Neurospora crassa OR74A: one gene and its partners. The protein of the gene in region 3 interacts with the protein of the main gene of each other region in a pairwise test. Links are inferred from orthologs where the notes say so. Each region holds a gene or a part of one and is shown on either strand. Other genes may lie near its edges. The genes, in order: NCU01563, stk-30 and prk-10.

What was found.
Region 1: the proteins of prk-10 (region 3) and NCU01563 interact in a two-hybrid assay, tested with the Saccharomyces cerevisiae proteins (2 studies listed by BioGRID, with this or other methods). The link is inferred for Neurospora crassa OR74A from reciprocal best matches to the Saccharomyces cerevisiae genes SNF1 and SSN8.
Region 2: the proteins of prk-10 (region 3) and stk-30 interact in binary tests that used the Saccharomyces cerevisiae proteins (3 or more experiments, as listed by UniProt). The link is inferred for Neurospora crassa OR74A from reciprocal best matches to the Saccharomyces cerevisiae genes SNF1 and NPR1.

What each region holds. Positions count from the first base shown.
Region 1 is NC_026502.1:3,075,033-3,080,137, forward strand, and holds NCU01563 (RNA polymerase II holoenzyme cyclin-like subunit), read left to right. Parts: upstream 1-2,032; 5' UTR 2,033-2,119; intron 2,120-2,179; exon of another isoform or gene 2,180-2,239; 5' UTR 2,240-2,680; coding exon 2,681-2,840; intron 2,841-2,930; coding exon 2,931-3,808; 3' UTR 3,809-4,169; downstream 4,170-5,105. Other genes in the region: NCU01564 (calcium dependent mitochondrial carrier protein), read right to left, coding at 1-92, 486-774, 870-1,032; NCU01562 (2,4-dichlorophenoxyacetate alpha-ketoglutarate dioxygenase), read right to left, coding at 4,189-5,100. UniProt on the Saccharomyces cerevisiae protein: Component of the SRB8-11 complex. The SRB8-11 complex is a regulatory module of the Mediator complex which is itself involved in regulation of basal and activated RNA polymerase II-dependent transcription.
Region 2 is NC_026504.1:3,735,486-3,740,774, forward strand, and holds the start of stk-30 (protein kinase), read left to right. Parts: upstream 1-1,747; 5' UTR 1,748-2,238; coding exon 2,239-2,293; intron 2,294-2,458; coding exon 2,459-2,724; intron 2,725-2,980; coding exon 2,981-4,289; intron 4,290-4,345; coding exon 4,346-4,989; 3' UTR 4,990-5,289. UniProt on the Saccharomyces cerevisiae protein: Nutrient-regulated protein kinase that promotes the activity of at least 6 distinct transport systems for nitrogenous nutrients under conditions of nitrogen catabolite derepression.
Region 3 is NC_026505.1:1,659,838-1,665,017, forward strand, and holds the start of prk-10 (protein kinase SNF1), read right to left. Parts: upstream 3,076-5,180; 5' UTR 2,596-3,075; coding exon 2,180-2,595; intron 2,095-2,179; coding exon 1,259-2,094; intron 991-1,258; coding exon 349-990; intron 292-348; coding exon 17-291; 3' UTR 1-16. Other genes in the region: NCU11040 (DUF92 domain-containing protein), read right to left, coding at 3,723-4,685, 4,770-4,955. UniProt on the Saccharomyces cerevisiae protein: Serine/threonine protein kinase essential for release from glucose repression.

The DNA of each region.
Region 1 (5,105 bases), on a different chromosome or scaffold from region 3:
TGGAGGAGTAAAACGACAGGGCGGCTTCAAGTGCAGAAGCGTGGTGGCCGTGTTCGTGGTTGTGCGTGGTGGGCATAAACAGGAGAAAGTCCCTTTTGTCATCAGAGGGAGAGTTCAAGTCAGCCAACAGGTTCTCAAGGTTCTCTCGTCTCTCGTGTGACCGAAGCAAACACCCGCTCAACCTCCTTCCTGGTTCTCATTCACTCGATTTCCCAAGACCTGGCAATGCGCTTTAGGGGCAGACCACACTGCAGCAGCCTTTTTAGCACGCGCGCAAAGTCAAAATGACTTTGACTCGGCCGCTAGCTGGCATTACAGGGTTAGATTGGGCGAGTGGAACTGGTGAAAAGTTGGCGATTCCCGGTCTTCCCCAGCTTTGAGTGGGTCGGTTTGTTTACTTGGGTTGTGGTCCACTTCTTTTTCTTCTCTTCGCTCGTCTCTCGAGTCTCTCGAGTCTCAGCTTTCAAAGAAATTGTGTGACTTACCGCCATTCGTCGAAGCTGATGTAGCCATCGTGGTCCATGTCGACCTCGTCGAAGAAGCCCGACAGCCTCTTGTTGGATACGGTCAAGCCGGCCTTTTGGAAAGCGCTGCGCAGCTCGTTCTTATCGAGCCGGCCATCCTTGTCGCGATCGATGGAACGGAAGAGCAGCCACAGTTGGCGCTCGGCGGTCTCGACGAAGTTGCGGAACTCTTCGTATTGGATCTTGCCGTCGCCGCTGGTGTCCACGACCTTGATGATATCCTTGAGCATGTGGTCGGCATTTTGCATGGCTACAAGAAAGACGGGCGCTTTGGTGTCAGTAGAGATGGCAAGTCGTGAACATGCGCATGACGAATCGCATTGGCGTTGGCAGGCATTGGCTCACGGTGATCGATCCTTCTCAACCCCTTTTGCAGCCCCTTGAAGTCGAGCTCTCCGTGGCGCTGGGGATCCAGCTTCGTCCACAATTCCTCGACGCGCTTGTCCCGCTGGTTCTGCGATTCGTCCATGCCGGCTTGGAGCTCTGCGAGCACATGGGAAACCTTCATTCCCGCTGTCGGGTTCTCATCATCCAACGCGGCATGCGCAGATGGTCGGCGTTGGTGTTCGGATATTTGCGCACGGCGGGGGAGGGGTCGGCGCGGAGAGGGAGCCAGACGACGGGGAGACGGGGAGCGTTCAATGCAAGTTCGGAGCACGACAAGAATGAATGGTCGTCGATACGGTAAAGTTCAGGTAAGGTACGGCGCAGTGCAATGCAAGTGAATGTGCAGTGCAGTGTAAAGGTTAGGTTAGGTTAGAGGTATCTTTCAGTTCTTTCCGTTCCTATGGTATTATGTATGCGGTGCTATGTGCAGTGCTGGCTCGCAGCTGAGGCAAGGTGGTTCAGTAGTGTGGTACACACAAGACCTACCATAGGCTCGGAAGGCAGATAGTCACTGCAAGGTCGGGACCTCGAGTGGTCAGGAATGGCAGAAATGAGACCGCCCGTCTAAACTAGCGGATCTAGAACCGTTTGCTGTAAGCGATTGGGTATGACGTAGGACAGGGGCTAGAGCAATAGGTAGGTAACTTGGATTTGGAAAATAAGATGAAATAGAGATCAAAATACGTTACGAAGCGACTGTTTGTATGAGCGGGACCTTCAAGGGGAAAATTAAAGTTACTTTCATGAAAAGAGATTGAGCCAAGCCACTCACGAATGGGATGGGACGAGTGGGTGGTGTATCGCTGTCCATCTACCCGTCACCCTATCTCCACGGGTATCCATTCTCCTCAAATAGTGCCTTTTGCACATTGCACCTGGCACCCTCCACAATTTTCGACCACGAATCTCGGTCCCTTTTTGAGACTCGAGACTTTGTTGACATGTAGCAAACAATGAAAGGGAAATCGGGGGTGGTGCGGGTGGCCGAAGTGATGAACGTGATATTCACGAAAAAAGCGGATCTGTATCGGAAGTGGTTTCAGTGGCCCCGTCCGGTGTGAGCGTGACACGGATTGTTATCTTGGCTTTTGTGTTGGGTCGGGGTAACACAACCCCAACATCGACAGCATTGAATTGAAGCTCGAGATAACCCAGGTTACCTATCTTGACCCAACCACCCGAAACATATTCAAGTCAGGAGAGTAGAGGTATGTAACTCAGTCGAGTTGTACCTCCAACCGTCCGGCATCCGGCAGCATCTTGACTCCACCCATCTGCAATTCACTTCCTGCAAACAAGCAACAAAGCTCTGATCAGTATCGGAGCAGGGTCATTTCTTTCGCCGTCTCCCTGATTGGCCAGCCCTGCCATAACATGTGGGCCTCCTAGGCCCTTCTAAAGTTTAAACCTCGGGTCGAGCAACCTACCTAGGGTCGGGTATTTTATCGCCAGCCTTATCAGCTTATCTTGGGCCCCGGGGTGTCCATCCGATCGCAAGCCATCACGTAATGTTTCTTTCCCGTTCAACATCAACCAACATCAAGTCGGAGCAGTGAGCTGAAGGCTTTCCGAGGTCTTGGATAGCGGCGCGTCGCAACAGGGTTTGAGACCTCCTCCATTACATAGGATTCCAACTCCACCGATCGTCAAAACGCGCGACCCAGAACATCTCCTACAGGCCAAGCGGACGACCATGTCTGCAGCGCCTTGGGAAGGACACAGCTAGACACCCGACAGCAGTTCGAGGCACCGAGACACACACGGTTACCATGGCGGCCAACTACTGGGAATCTACTCAGCGCAAACACTGGCTGTTTACCAAAGATGAGCTTGCCGCTATGCGCGCAAAGCTAGAGGCTGAAGAACCCAACCTGGTGGCCTCGTTTCCTCTCCCGCAACTGCGCCATCTGAACATCTACTTCAACCAACGTTCGTCGTATCTCTCCACGTCCCCTACCCCGTCCACCCGTCCGTCTGTTCGATGAAGAGAGTCGCCAACATACTTCTGTTTTACTCTAGAAATCAACCGTCTCGGTAAGCGCATGGGGCTACGACAGCAAGCCTTGGCCACCGCCCAAGTCTACATCAAGCGCTTCTACACCAAAGTCGAGATCCGGCGCACCAATCCACACCACGTTCTCGTGACCGCCCTATATCTGGCCTGCAAGATGGAGGAATGTCCCCAGCATATTCGGCTTATGGCCAACGAGGCCCGCGGCTTTTGGCCTACAGACTTCCAATCCCAGACAGAAGTGGCAAGGATAGGAGAATGCGAGTTCTACCTTATCTCAGAAATGAGCTCACATCTCATTGTCCATTCACCCTACCGTACCCTTACCAGCTTACAAGGGGAGCTTGGGCTGGCACAAGAGGACGTCAACCTTGCCTGGTCCGTCATCAACGACCATTACATGACCGATCTGCCGCTGCTCCACCCACCACATGTGATAGCCTTGACAGCCATTCTCTTGGCTCTGGTGTTGCGTCAGGATCCCAGCGGTCGTCTCCCTGGAACAGCCGCGTCGGCTTCGGGACTGGTAGCCGCTTCGGCAGCGTTGGCTCAGGCACAGGCGCAAGCACAGGCACGCGCTGCCATGATGGCGGGGGGTGGCCAGACTGTGCCAGGTCTCACCCCCCAGTCTTCTTCTGGCTTGCAGGCCATGCTTCCACCCCAGTCACCAGCCGGAGAAGGTCCTGCCGAAGGGAACAAAAACCCACGTATGGCAAAGGTTCACCGATTTGCTGCATGGCTGTCTGACAGTAATATTGATATTGAGGCCATGGTGGACTGCACGCAGGAGTTGATCTCCTTCTATGAATGCCATGAGCAGTACAATGACAAGAACACTCGGGAGCAGATCAATAGGTTTGTCAAAGCTCGCGGGCTGGACAAGTAAAGTATTGGTTCTGAGATCATGGATCGAATATCTCTTATTTGATGAATGCCTGGTGAGTGGTTAGACAACGGCCATGCGACCAAACGGAAAACGCTTCTTATTATCAGACTTGGACTAGTATGGCCCCTAATCCCGTGTTGTATTTTTTTTCTTCTGTGGGGGCACTGTCAATTATTGGATCATGGGCTCTCAAGCTGATAGGCATACGCATCAGTTCAAGGGCAATAGTGACATTTTAATCATAAGCATACAAGTAATGTCGATCGAAGCTTTACGTTCAAACAAGCGGACGAACTAGTGTAATGGCCCAAAGAAGGATGTCCCTCACCATAGAAATGACTAAACAGACTCTTACCTCGCCCTGGCTTTTCCATCAAAAATCACCTCTCAACCGCAGCCGATTGCGTCAACGGCAGCCCCTTCTCCTTCGTTATGCTCTCCAATGTAGGCAAAGGCGCCCCCTCGCCATTAAGCCCCCAAGCCGTCGGGCCCTGGTCGAACGCCGTCGTCCTCCTCATATCTCTCCTATGCTTACCTACACCCTTAAACTCACCCGCGCGATGCAATACAGCTCTATTATCCCAAATCACCAAATCACCCGGCCGCTCCCACCTCACACTCGCCACAAAGCTCTTGTTAGCCACATGCTCATTCAAAAACTTGATTATCCCCTCCGACCCCGGCACCGTCTTCCCCTCCCCATCCTCCAACCGCCACAAATAAGCACCCACACATAAATTCATCCTCCCACTCTCCACATGCTCTTGCACAACCTTGTGTCTCGCTATAGGACCCTCCTCCGGGTTCACGTCTTTAAAGTACTCAGGCGCCCCCAGCTTCCGACTATGAGCAGCATTATACACCCCCGTCCAATCTTTTGTCAGCAACTCCCTCTTTTTCTCGGCAGCCAACTCCTCCCACGCAGTCCTACTATCCGCAAACTCCGTGTTTCCTTCTATTTCCCCCATTTCCCCAGGCTCCCGAGAAGGCAGTTCCACGGCTCTTAGCAACGAATAACTCGACCGCCGCGGGTTATATGCTAGGTCCGAGTGCCATGACGAGTTGGCGCGGAGTAGCATGGCTCGTGGAGATGAAGAAGGGTCTAGGATCGCGCGGCCGTCGTCGGACAGGTTGCTGGCGTCGAAGAGCTCGAGGTGGGGGTAGTAGCGGGGGACGCGGCCGGGTGGGAGGAAGCGGGAGATGTCGTCGAGTGGACCAGAGGCGAAGAGGCGGGAGAAGGAGACGTGCGTGCTGTCGGTTAGGGGCGTGGCGCGGAGGATGATGAAGCCGTACTAAA
Region 2 (5,289 bases), on a different chromosome or scaffold from region 3:
CACGGCATTGTTACCAATATTGGATGCGGACTATAGCCATAGCTTGTGGCTCTGTGTATCTTTGCTTGTATCATTATTGTATGGCAAAATCTCAAAATGCACAGCGGTGCCTGGAGCTGTTGGTTGGTCCACGGAGTATGATCGTTTGGGAAAGGCTTCCACAAAAGGGTGCTGATGGCAGGCATGGCATATATGGGCATTTGCCGGTTTGCGTTTGCATTGCCTCAACGTACTCCAGCTTCGTCAACCTTGGCTCACATAGCTTGTGTTTGTGGAACACGCAGGCGTATGACGAGGATCTGTCTCTGTAGGATTAAGTTTTAAGGTTGGCGGTCACCAAGGTAGACCGCCCAACGGGTATTATGCTTACCTGAATGTAGGTGAGATGTGTTTATAATGCTTTTGGCTAAGCTGACTGCAAGACAAATCACACACATATATAAAAAGGGGTTTTGTAAACAAACATCCGCTTCGCCCAAGTGCTTATCCACCAGCCCACTTCTTACCACTCAGGCGAAGCCCCGGTATCATGTCGCCATGGTGTTCATCTCATGCTTTCAATACTAACGAGATGAAATGGATGATTGTTTAATATCCTACACGTGTGCAACGATTGCAATTACATTCAATGGCTTCTAGAACCATTCGGGCAATTACCTCCCGCAGCATGGCGGGGTATCGACATGGGTTACACCGAACCGAGCGATAAGGACCTGGTTTTCGGCGGTAGAGATCGACATAGAAAGCTGTTTACCATATCCGTTGGCAGTCCATCGAAAAAAAAGGTTGGGTGACATCAGGACAGTCACTGGAGACAAAGCTGACCACCAACACCACCTAGACTTGTCATCCATGCCTTTGCGGTGCCTCGGTCTTTCGGACACGGCGGCGCTCTAAAAGGCCGCTTTGACGGTGGTCGGGGCTGCTGCGGGATTCATACTTGACTCTCTGTTGTTCAGTTGAAACGCAGGGCAACGAGGATGACAGCCAAGGACGCAAGGCACAACCGGCTGAGGTGTTCACTCGAGTCATTGGGTGAACTGCCCAGTGTTTGAGGAACAACACGGGGCGGCGGAAACAGAGATGTGATGGAATGGATGTCCTGGCAGGAATTACGACTGCGTCAATGCAGCTGGTCATTGGCGTTTTAGAGGGGGAGGCGCTGCAATCGCTCGGCATCTTTCAAAGCTGGAAAAGGAAGTCGGACAAGATGGAAGAGGACATCGATGGACAGGATCAGGGACCTGACCCCAGGTTGCCGACCGCTCCCGGTTCCAATGTGTACTTGTGTAGTGTATGACAAAGACCAAGATCCAAGACGGGACTCCTATTGCGGTTTTGGGAACACTGACGCCCAGACAGGGTGCCCGCCGCCACGTTCAAACTGTTTGGCTTCGAGACCGTTCACCTTGTGAGGACGGGAGTCTGTGACTGCGGATCCGTCTGAAATTCAATCATTCTAGGAAAGCCGGCTTGGCCCGATCTCAGTGCCGGCGTGCCCGCTCTCAGATTCAACTCAGGTCCTCTCCTCCCAGGCGGGTGCACTGGCTGGTGGTCCATCAAGGGTACCCGTGTTTCCCGCCGCCTGCAGCCAACGTTTCCTGTAAGTACCTGTCATGTACATAGCTCGGCCCCACCACGACGCAACAGAGCGCCATCTTTCACACTTCCATTTCTTCGCCGAACCCGGGCCGCTTCTGTCCCAAGTGAACAAGAACTGAAGCCTAGGCACACAGCATCGACAAGGAATCGTCAAGGCCAGGCAAAGTCAAATCAGAAGTCACGGTGGAAAGTGGAAACCCCATTATTCACCTCCTACATAGTGTACTAGTAGTGACCAGTCCAAGCCTTGTCTACAGGCTTTGCAGTTCCATGACAGTTGAGATCGCCGTCATCTATTTGGCCCCGACTCTTCTTTCGCCGCCGTCCCATTTGCCTTTCCCTTGCTTCCACTTGACATAGTTTCCGCCCATTCCGCCGCTGCGTCTGCTTGCCGGTCTGGTCTTGTCTTGCATCTTCTGTCGCTCTGTCACCTGTCTGGCCCTTGCATCTTGCATCACACGGTCTTTTATCCCATCTTTTTTATCTCTGTTTTCCAGGGCGGGCCAGACACCAGACGTTATTCGGATTCCTGCCAGGATTTTACAAGTTTTATTAGTTTGCGGAGACGGGCGCAAATTCGAACCAAGAAATCAAAGTCACCCAACAAAAACAACAAAACACCTAAAAAAAAAAAAGATGGCGACCGCTGAGAAAGAGTCAGAGCAGCGTCAACCGGACGAACAGTTCCAAGGTAAGGAGAAAGGAAACAACGACGAAGAATTGGAAAAGAAAAAAACACGAATAAAAAATCAACGGCAACCCCTCATCTCTGATCCCTACTACGCCAATCCTCGGGGACTAGAACGAGCAAGCATTGGATTGAAGCAATTCGCTGACTTGTAGTCTACTCCAACAGCTGTCGAGCCGCAATCGGTCAAAGTCACTCCCGCTGAACCATCCAAAACCGAGCCTGCTGTCCGCTTCAAGTCAACTGTCGAAGAGATCACGCCAGAGGGCACCACATCGACACCAACCATTGCACCAGACGTCACCCTCGGCGAACCGGGTGAGGTCACCCCCGAGCAGCTTCGTGATATCGCCGAGAGGTTGAAGGCCTGTCCGCTGCAGGAGCGAAGGATAAGCCTTTTCCAGTACGAGGCATTCTCGCTTCCCGCTTCAAGGGTAAGCCCATCCTAATTTCACGTGAGGGGCTACGCTTCTTGCTTCCTTCCTTTGTTCATCTCCCAAGTTTTGCTTTTGCCTTGGTCCGTCGCTTCCGGGGGGGGCTTGTGCAACCAAGATCAGCTCGGTGGCTTTTGCTGGCTTTTTCCATGTCTCTTGTCTGATTGCACACCATATATCCATGCATGCATAGTCACCATTCTTCGCGTCTGCGTCTTTACCCCTTGGGCGAGGACTAATACTTTGCTATCTCCAGACACCTTCCCACGAAGATGATTCAAGAGCTCCCAGTCGCGAACATACACGGAGCTCGGCAGGTCGCAACTCACCGCTTCTTACTCCGCACGTCAGGGGCCACGAAATGCATACACCTCCTCTCACGCCGGCTGGAACCGACAACGTCGACCGAGAACTTCGCCGCGAGAGCGCTCTGGCGCAAGAAAGGCGGAGTGCCAACCTCATCACTCCTCAAGATTCTTCCCACGAACCGACATCACCTACCTCTCTCCGCAATGTCCAGCTGCCTACACCCGACGAACAGCTGCGGAGCTCTTCCAGGCCGACTTCGATAGATGGCCGAGATCGTCCCCAGATCACTATTGGTGAACATCGCAGAGGGTTGTTTTCCGTTGGATCCGGCGGCAGCAGTTCCCCCAGTAGATCTCAGCCTGCGTCTCGTGAATCCAGTCCCTCCCGAGCGTTGGCCGCGTCACAGTTCTACACCCGCCAACTACCACCTCCCGGCGATGCCAACGATCCGTACTCGGCAAGCAAACGACCTGCACAAAAAGGCATTGAGCCTCGCTTCATCTTCTCCAGGAAAAAGAACTCGTCCTCTTTGAGTCTGGTATCCAAAAGCGACAAACGCTCCAAGAAGGATCGCCATGACAACGACGACGAGGCCACAATCCCCAGCAGAAATAGCTCAATGGCGGACCTGAAGAGGTTCTTCAAGCTGGGACCCCACAAGAACAAGAGACCGGCATCTCCCGCTGCTTCTGTAAAGTCTACGCCCAAGACACCGGGAGGCAAGTCCGCCCAGATTCCGTTCGGTGACGATCACGGTCTCTCTTCTAAATACGGGAAGCTTGGCAAGGTGTTGGGTGCCGGAGCGGGAGGTTCGGTGAGACTCATGAAGCGCAGCGAAGACGGTGTGGTCTTTGCCGTTAAGGAGTTCCGCCCTCGCCACTCGTACGAAACCGAGCGCGAATATGTCAAGAAGCTTACGGCCGAGTATTGCATGGGATCTTCTTTGCACCATGGCAACATCATTGAAACCCTAGACATTGTCCAGGAGAAGGGCAAGTGGTATGAGGTGATGGAGTACGCTCCGTATGACCTGTTCGCCATTGTCATGACAGGAAAGATGTCTCGAGAAGAGGTCAGCTGCTGCTTCCTTCAGATCTTGAGTGGCGTAACATACCTTCACAGCATGGGCCTCGCGCATCGGGATCTGAAGCTTGACAACGTTGTGGTTAGCGAGCATGGGATTATGAAGATTATCGATTTTGGTAGTGCTCATGTTTTCCGGTATCCGTTTGAGACTGGTATTGTACATGCCTCAGGTATGTAAACACTTGGCTGAGAAGATGCTGGTTGAAGGGTTGCTAACCGATCAAAGGCATTGTTGGATCCGACCCATATCTTGCCCCCGAAGTGTACGACGAAAAGAAGTACGATCCCGAAGCCGTTGATATCTGGTCCTTGGCCATCATCTACTGCTGCATGACACTCCGGCGATTCCCGTGGAAGGTTCCTCGATTGACCGACAACTCGTTCAAGCTATTCGCTGCAGAACCTTCGTTCGGACATGACCCAAAGAAACTGTTGCTTCCACCTTCAGCCTCCACGTCGGCGCTTAGCGATGTTCCATACAGAGACTACGACCCTCAGAGCGTCAGGGCTAGCAGCGACAAGATCGACAAGGTTCAGGATGACAAGAAGACGACTTCCGATCACAAGCCGACAACCAGCGTACAAGGAGAAGCTGGCAGCACTGGAGAGAAGAAGGAGGTTATCCGTGGTCCTTGGAGAATCCTCAGGCTTCTCCCGAGGGAAAGCAGACACGTCATCGGCAGGATGCTCGATCTGGATCCCAAGACACGAGCCAAGATGACGGAAATTCTTGACGATCCATGGGTGGCGAACACCGTCATCTGCCGGCAGATCGGCCCCGGCAACGTGGCACATGCGGACGATCACGTACATACTCTCGAACCCCCATCAGCACCTGCAGGCACCAAAGATGAAAAGGCCAAACGCTAGAAGTGGAGCCTTCGCGCCAGTAGACATCCTCAAATACAGGACGGCTTCTTGGGGGCACAGGATGCCACCAACATTTGGGTTAGGAACAAGAAGGGTTATCTGATGGGACTTGTGGGGGATAACTTGGGTTTAGTATTGAAAAGACCGAACATACGTTTTTAGTGCAGTATATGGGTATTGTTACCATTTTCCTCTCAGTCGGTGTCTGTTTCCTTGCGAGGCAGCGGTTTTTCGTCATTTTCTTGGGCGTTTTTGGGACTTGGGAAGACAGCGCTGCGATTGGGTTTGGGTGTCGATGCA
Region 3 (5,180 bases):
TGATTGTCGGGGCACCTCAATCTGCGTCTGCCAACTGCATGATGAGTTTGGCCGCCATATCAAGGAAGGGGAAGGGGCTCGTGACTTCCTTATCCTCTAGAAGCTTTCCATCGGGGGTCTCGTACCCGTCTACCTTGAAATCGACAAGATAGACGCCGTGCTCCATTTCGTATATCTGAATCTCCATACGCATGGCCACAACCTGGTATTTGCTGTCGCTGCCATCCCGGCTAACATGCGTGTTCTCTCCTGCTTCGCTGAGGCCGGAGGCAACCGAATGCTTTTTGAGCTCTGACAGCCAATGTTAGCCAAACTTTGCCATTTGGGCCGGACAGACCGGAAACTCACTATCAGTTGTCCACCGAATCTTGATATGCCAGGGGTCCGCAGGAAGTCTATATGTCTTGGTGGGATCCATGCTGGATGATGACTTCTTGCGGGACCCGATACTAGGCCCATCATAGTCATCAGTGTCGTCATCGTCCCGGTGGGCTCTTTCGTAGTCTTCATCGACAATCCACCCAGCGCCAAGCTTGTTTAGCGCCTTGTAAATACACACCAGCGCCTCCCAAGGAGCGTTCCGGGATCGAATACCAAATTGCCATCGAGCAGGCTTGTTCTTCTTGGGCGGGTGGACGGGGGTAAGTCCTTGTGGGCGCTTGTTGGCCTCGTCAAGGCGAAGTTGACTCCTCGAATGTGGCTTGAGTCTTCGGATAGTCTCTTCTTGTTCAGCTTGGCTGCGCGGCTGATTTGCCGGCTCAACGATGGTGGGGATGGCATCAGGGGGCTCAAGACCTTCGGCCTTGGCCTTCTCTCGCTCCATAAAGACCCTGTGGTAGGTAGGAAGACTGCTAGGCAAAATACCGATCTTGCTGACATATGGCCGCGGTGAAGTTGCTGTGCTAACGGATGCGATCGAGCGAGCTGATGACATATTCGGGTCATGGAGCGGACTCGGGACAGACTCCTCTGTCGTGAGGCCTGGAATTTCTTCATCGGTTTTTAGTAGGGTATCCTGGTATTCCTCATTGGTGTTGCTCCAAAAGGACGATGGTCGCAAACTCAAGGATTTGCTTTTTTTTTGCGTCAAGCGATGTTCACCACTAGGCAAGTGTAAAATGGACGCCGAAGGAGGATGGGACGTGGCAAAATCAACTGCGAAAGAAGGACAAAACGGACGAGTATAGCATCGCAAAGGGATCGATAGGTTCCAATGATGAGAAGACAAAAGACTTGCTGGGAGGGAGCGTAGACTCACGGTTACTCTGCATCAGCTTGTTCTCACGCACGATCATGTAGGCATCTTTGATGGCCGAGGGTTCATCGGCCTCCAAGGCCTCTTCGACATCTCTCTTGCCGTAGCCCATGGTTTTACTGATCTTCTCCGTGACCTCATTATGCAACTTCTCCTGTTCCTGCGGAGGGGCATTTGGCGCAATGTCGCTAACCTTGATGGCCTTGTTGGGGTCCACGCCAGTATTGAGGAACTCCTCAACAGGAGGGTGAAGGTAAGCCGGCAGATCCTTGAGGAACCACGGGTCCTGGCGGATTTCGTCAATTGTGGCACGTTGAACAGGGTTGACAACCAACATCTTCTTGATTAGTGACGCCGCGCCGGGACTCATCCAGGTCGGCACCATGTAGCTTCCACGCGCAATTTTGGCAAAAAGACTGGGGATATGCTCGTCGTCGAAAGGGAGGCGCCCGACGAGTAGGACGTAAAGAATGACACCGCAACTCCAGACATCGACTTCGGGTCCTGCGTAAAGCTTGCCGCCAATGACCTCGGGAGCCGCGTAATTGGGAGAGCCGCAGCTGGTCTTGAGGAAATTACCGTCGGTCATGATATTGCTAAGACCAAAATCGGCAATTTTGACATTGAGATTATCGTCCAGCAAGAGGTTTTCGGGCTTTAGGTCGCGATGAACGATCTTGTGACGATGACAGTATTCGACGGCGCATAGCATCTGCTGAAAGAAGCGGCGGGCTTCGTCCTCCTTCATCTTTCCATGTTGAACAATGTAATCGAACAATTCGCCGCCGGCATACTCTAGCACCATGATGATCTCGGTTGGTGTTTTGATAACGGTGTACCTGGTATGCGCGCCGGGTTAGCCAACGTGTACGTAAAGGACCAGAGCCAACGTCTGCTGCGCATGGGCGTCGAGGGGTGCCTTACAGCTTGATGATATGGGGATGCCTTAGCAATTGAAGATACTCAATCTCGCGCTCTACGCGACCTTGCATGTCGCGGCTGATGAGCTTCTTGCGGGCGATGATCTTGAGAGCGACCTGCTGGCCGGTCATGCGATGGACAGCCAGCTTGACCTTTCCGAAGCTGCCTTCGCCGAGCGTCTTGACAATGTTATAGGCACCGATGCGCTGCTCGGTGCGCATCTTGTCGCGGAGGGGTGCGTCGGCCATGACGGCGTTGATATTAGGGTGTAATTGCTGACCGTGTTGACCGTATTCGTGGAGGTTGCCGGTACTGGGGCCGAAGCCTGATGCGCCATCGCCGGATCGCTTATTGCGACTTCGGATCTGAGAAGGAGACAAGGAGATGGAAAGCTCCTCGTCATCGTAGGCCTGTGCCATGGCAGACGGAGTCGCTTGCAACACAAGTGGACGACACTGAATCGCGGATGGAAGGTCGTTCGTTTCGTCTGACCAGATGTCGTCCGACTGGCTGGTGAAGAGGGTGAATGGGCAATGGAGGAACCGCGATGGTCCCTCGATTGAATCCTGGGAGCGGGAGCGAACAGACCCAAGAGGTTGGAGCTAATGAAGCTAGGGACGTCAAGTCAAGGCTCGGTGGGCTGTCTGTGTTGTAGCGTCGTCGGTCGATGTAAGGTACCGCCTTGCTTTGTTCAGGAGAACATCATGTATCGGATGCGCATTCGGTCGGTGTTCGGTTGTCAGCCGACAAGAATCAGCAATCGCGGTGGACGGGCAGCGCAGCGGGCAATCAAGTGGGTGTTGGAGCTGTTAGGTTCCATAGGAGGAAGTGGACAAGCGAACACTGCAGCGGGGCAACAATCCAGAGATGGTGTAATGGAAAACGGGGTGGAAGGAGTCGGGCGGGGATCTGGGGTGAAGAATGGGGGAATTAGTGGAGGAGTTGGAAGGATGCAGGGACGACAAACGGCAGCATCGCGGGGTCAGAGCGCTCCGGAAAGCGGCCACCTTAACTTAGGTACAACGGGGCTGCCGAGCCGGACGGAAAGTTCCATCATTCATCAGCTACTGTACCTACTTCATGTTTCGTTACTACCGCCTGGCTGGCCGAGGGGAGGTCATCCGGCTCGGTCACAGGACCATTGTCACAAGGCCGATAAAAGCCCTGTGTACGCCTATACGTGTCTACCACACATTATGGCCCAAAATGGTAGCAAGTCGAAATTACAAAGACTAGGTATACAACGTTCTCGTGTATAGAATACCAAAGGATTCAATTGTAAGCCAGGCTGGTCTTCGATCCCATGTACGGATCGCTGGTCTTGAATTGTGGATGTTTGGTACAATGAGAACCTCAATGGTCAATCGCGCCGGCTTTTGGTTAGCATCATCCGGATAGCGAGCAAGGTACCTGCCCAAGCTTCACCCAAAGCCGTGATCTGAATGTGTAATCAAAATGACGACTGAGCTCTCATATGTCATCCATGGAATTGTTTAGCTAGCCAACATCTCTAGCGAAAGTCATTCACCACCCACCTGCGACTGCCTTATGCCCACCATGGCGACAACACAGACTGCAGAGGAACTCCCCAATACCATGATGCGACGGCCATCGCTCCCACGCTCATGCCGAATGCCATCAAGAAGTTGACATCATTGTTATCAAGCAGGTCCCAGCCGTTCTCCACCACTCGCGACGGCCTCTCGTCTCCAAAGCTCGACCTCCGCTGCTTGTTGCGCGAATCGTACTTGTTACCGGCAGCGGCGCCGACATCCTCCACCGCATCCGTCCCCTCGCCAGACAGAAGAGACGACTTAATCTCAGCCTTAGTCCGACCGGCAACGTTGTTGGGGTTCGTAGCGTTGGTAACCAGTACCCTCACGCCACCCTCGCCCTCCACAATCTTGCCCGTACGCACATCCTTGACACTGGCCTGGAAGAGCCCGCCCAAAATGCTGTCCACAACGCTGCCCAAAAAACCCCAGACCGTGAGACCGAGAATCAGCATGCGGCGCTGTCCCAGTGACCAGCCCGCGGCACCGCCAAGTCTCGTAGCCGTCTCGTCAGTGCAAAGAGGCAGAAGAAGCATGGACGCCGTAACGATGATCATGCTGCCCAACAGGCCAGCGCCAAGACCGACGAGGGAAACGCCGCCGTTGGTGCCACGCGGTACCTTGCGCAAGTTCCAGCTTGTGATTAGGCGCGGCTCGCCCTTGGACAGAATGCCCAGCTCGGAGCTAAAGGTGTCGGCCGCAACACAGGCATAATTGGCAATGATACCAATCACCAACAAGTCGCCGCCCCAGGAGAAGCAAAGGCTACCGGTCCCTGTGCTGGTGGGATTAGCGATCAGCGTCTGCTTGCGCACATGCAGCTGATAAGCGTGGAGCAGAGAGAAGATGGAAGCCGTGAGCGAGTTGGCGAACACTTGGGTGTGATTTCTCGGGCCCTCGCCGCCGGACGTGCCCTTGGAGTGTACTGTGAGCTTGGCCTTGACGTTTTCCTTTACCTAGCCGGGGAAAGATGTCGATATTAGCTGTCAAAGTCCACGCCTAACTTGTGCCGCCCCTGGGTAGAGCTTCATCAGACTTACATGCGTTACCCGCGTTCCCGCCAGGAAGAACACGACGAGCAGAGCAAAGGGAAGATTCCAAGGGTGAACTGCGTGTGCGATGGCCGTAAGGAGAGCAGCAAAGATGCCGCCGGGTGTCAACGACTTCTTGGAGTAAGCCCTGTAACAGAGCGCCGCGATCGCGGGCACGGCAATTTCAACTCTCATGCTGCCGCTACAAATTTGGTGTATTTTTCTTGAGCGGGTTTTCGGTCGTAGGAGATGAGATTTGGTCTCTGATGTTGTTGTAGTTTCTCTCCCCAAAGAACGTTGTTTTTAGGCAAAATACAATGGCTATCTCATTGTTGCCGGCAATTCGTGCAATCAGCTGTTTCGTTGTGACTTTGTGTTGCTGGCAACAAGTTGAACCTCACCACCCAACTCATGTCATCA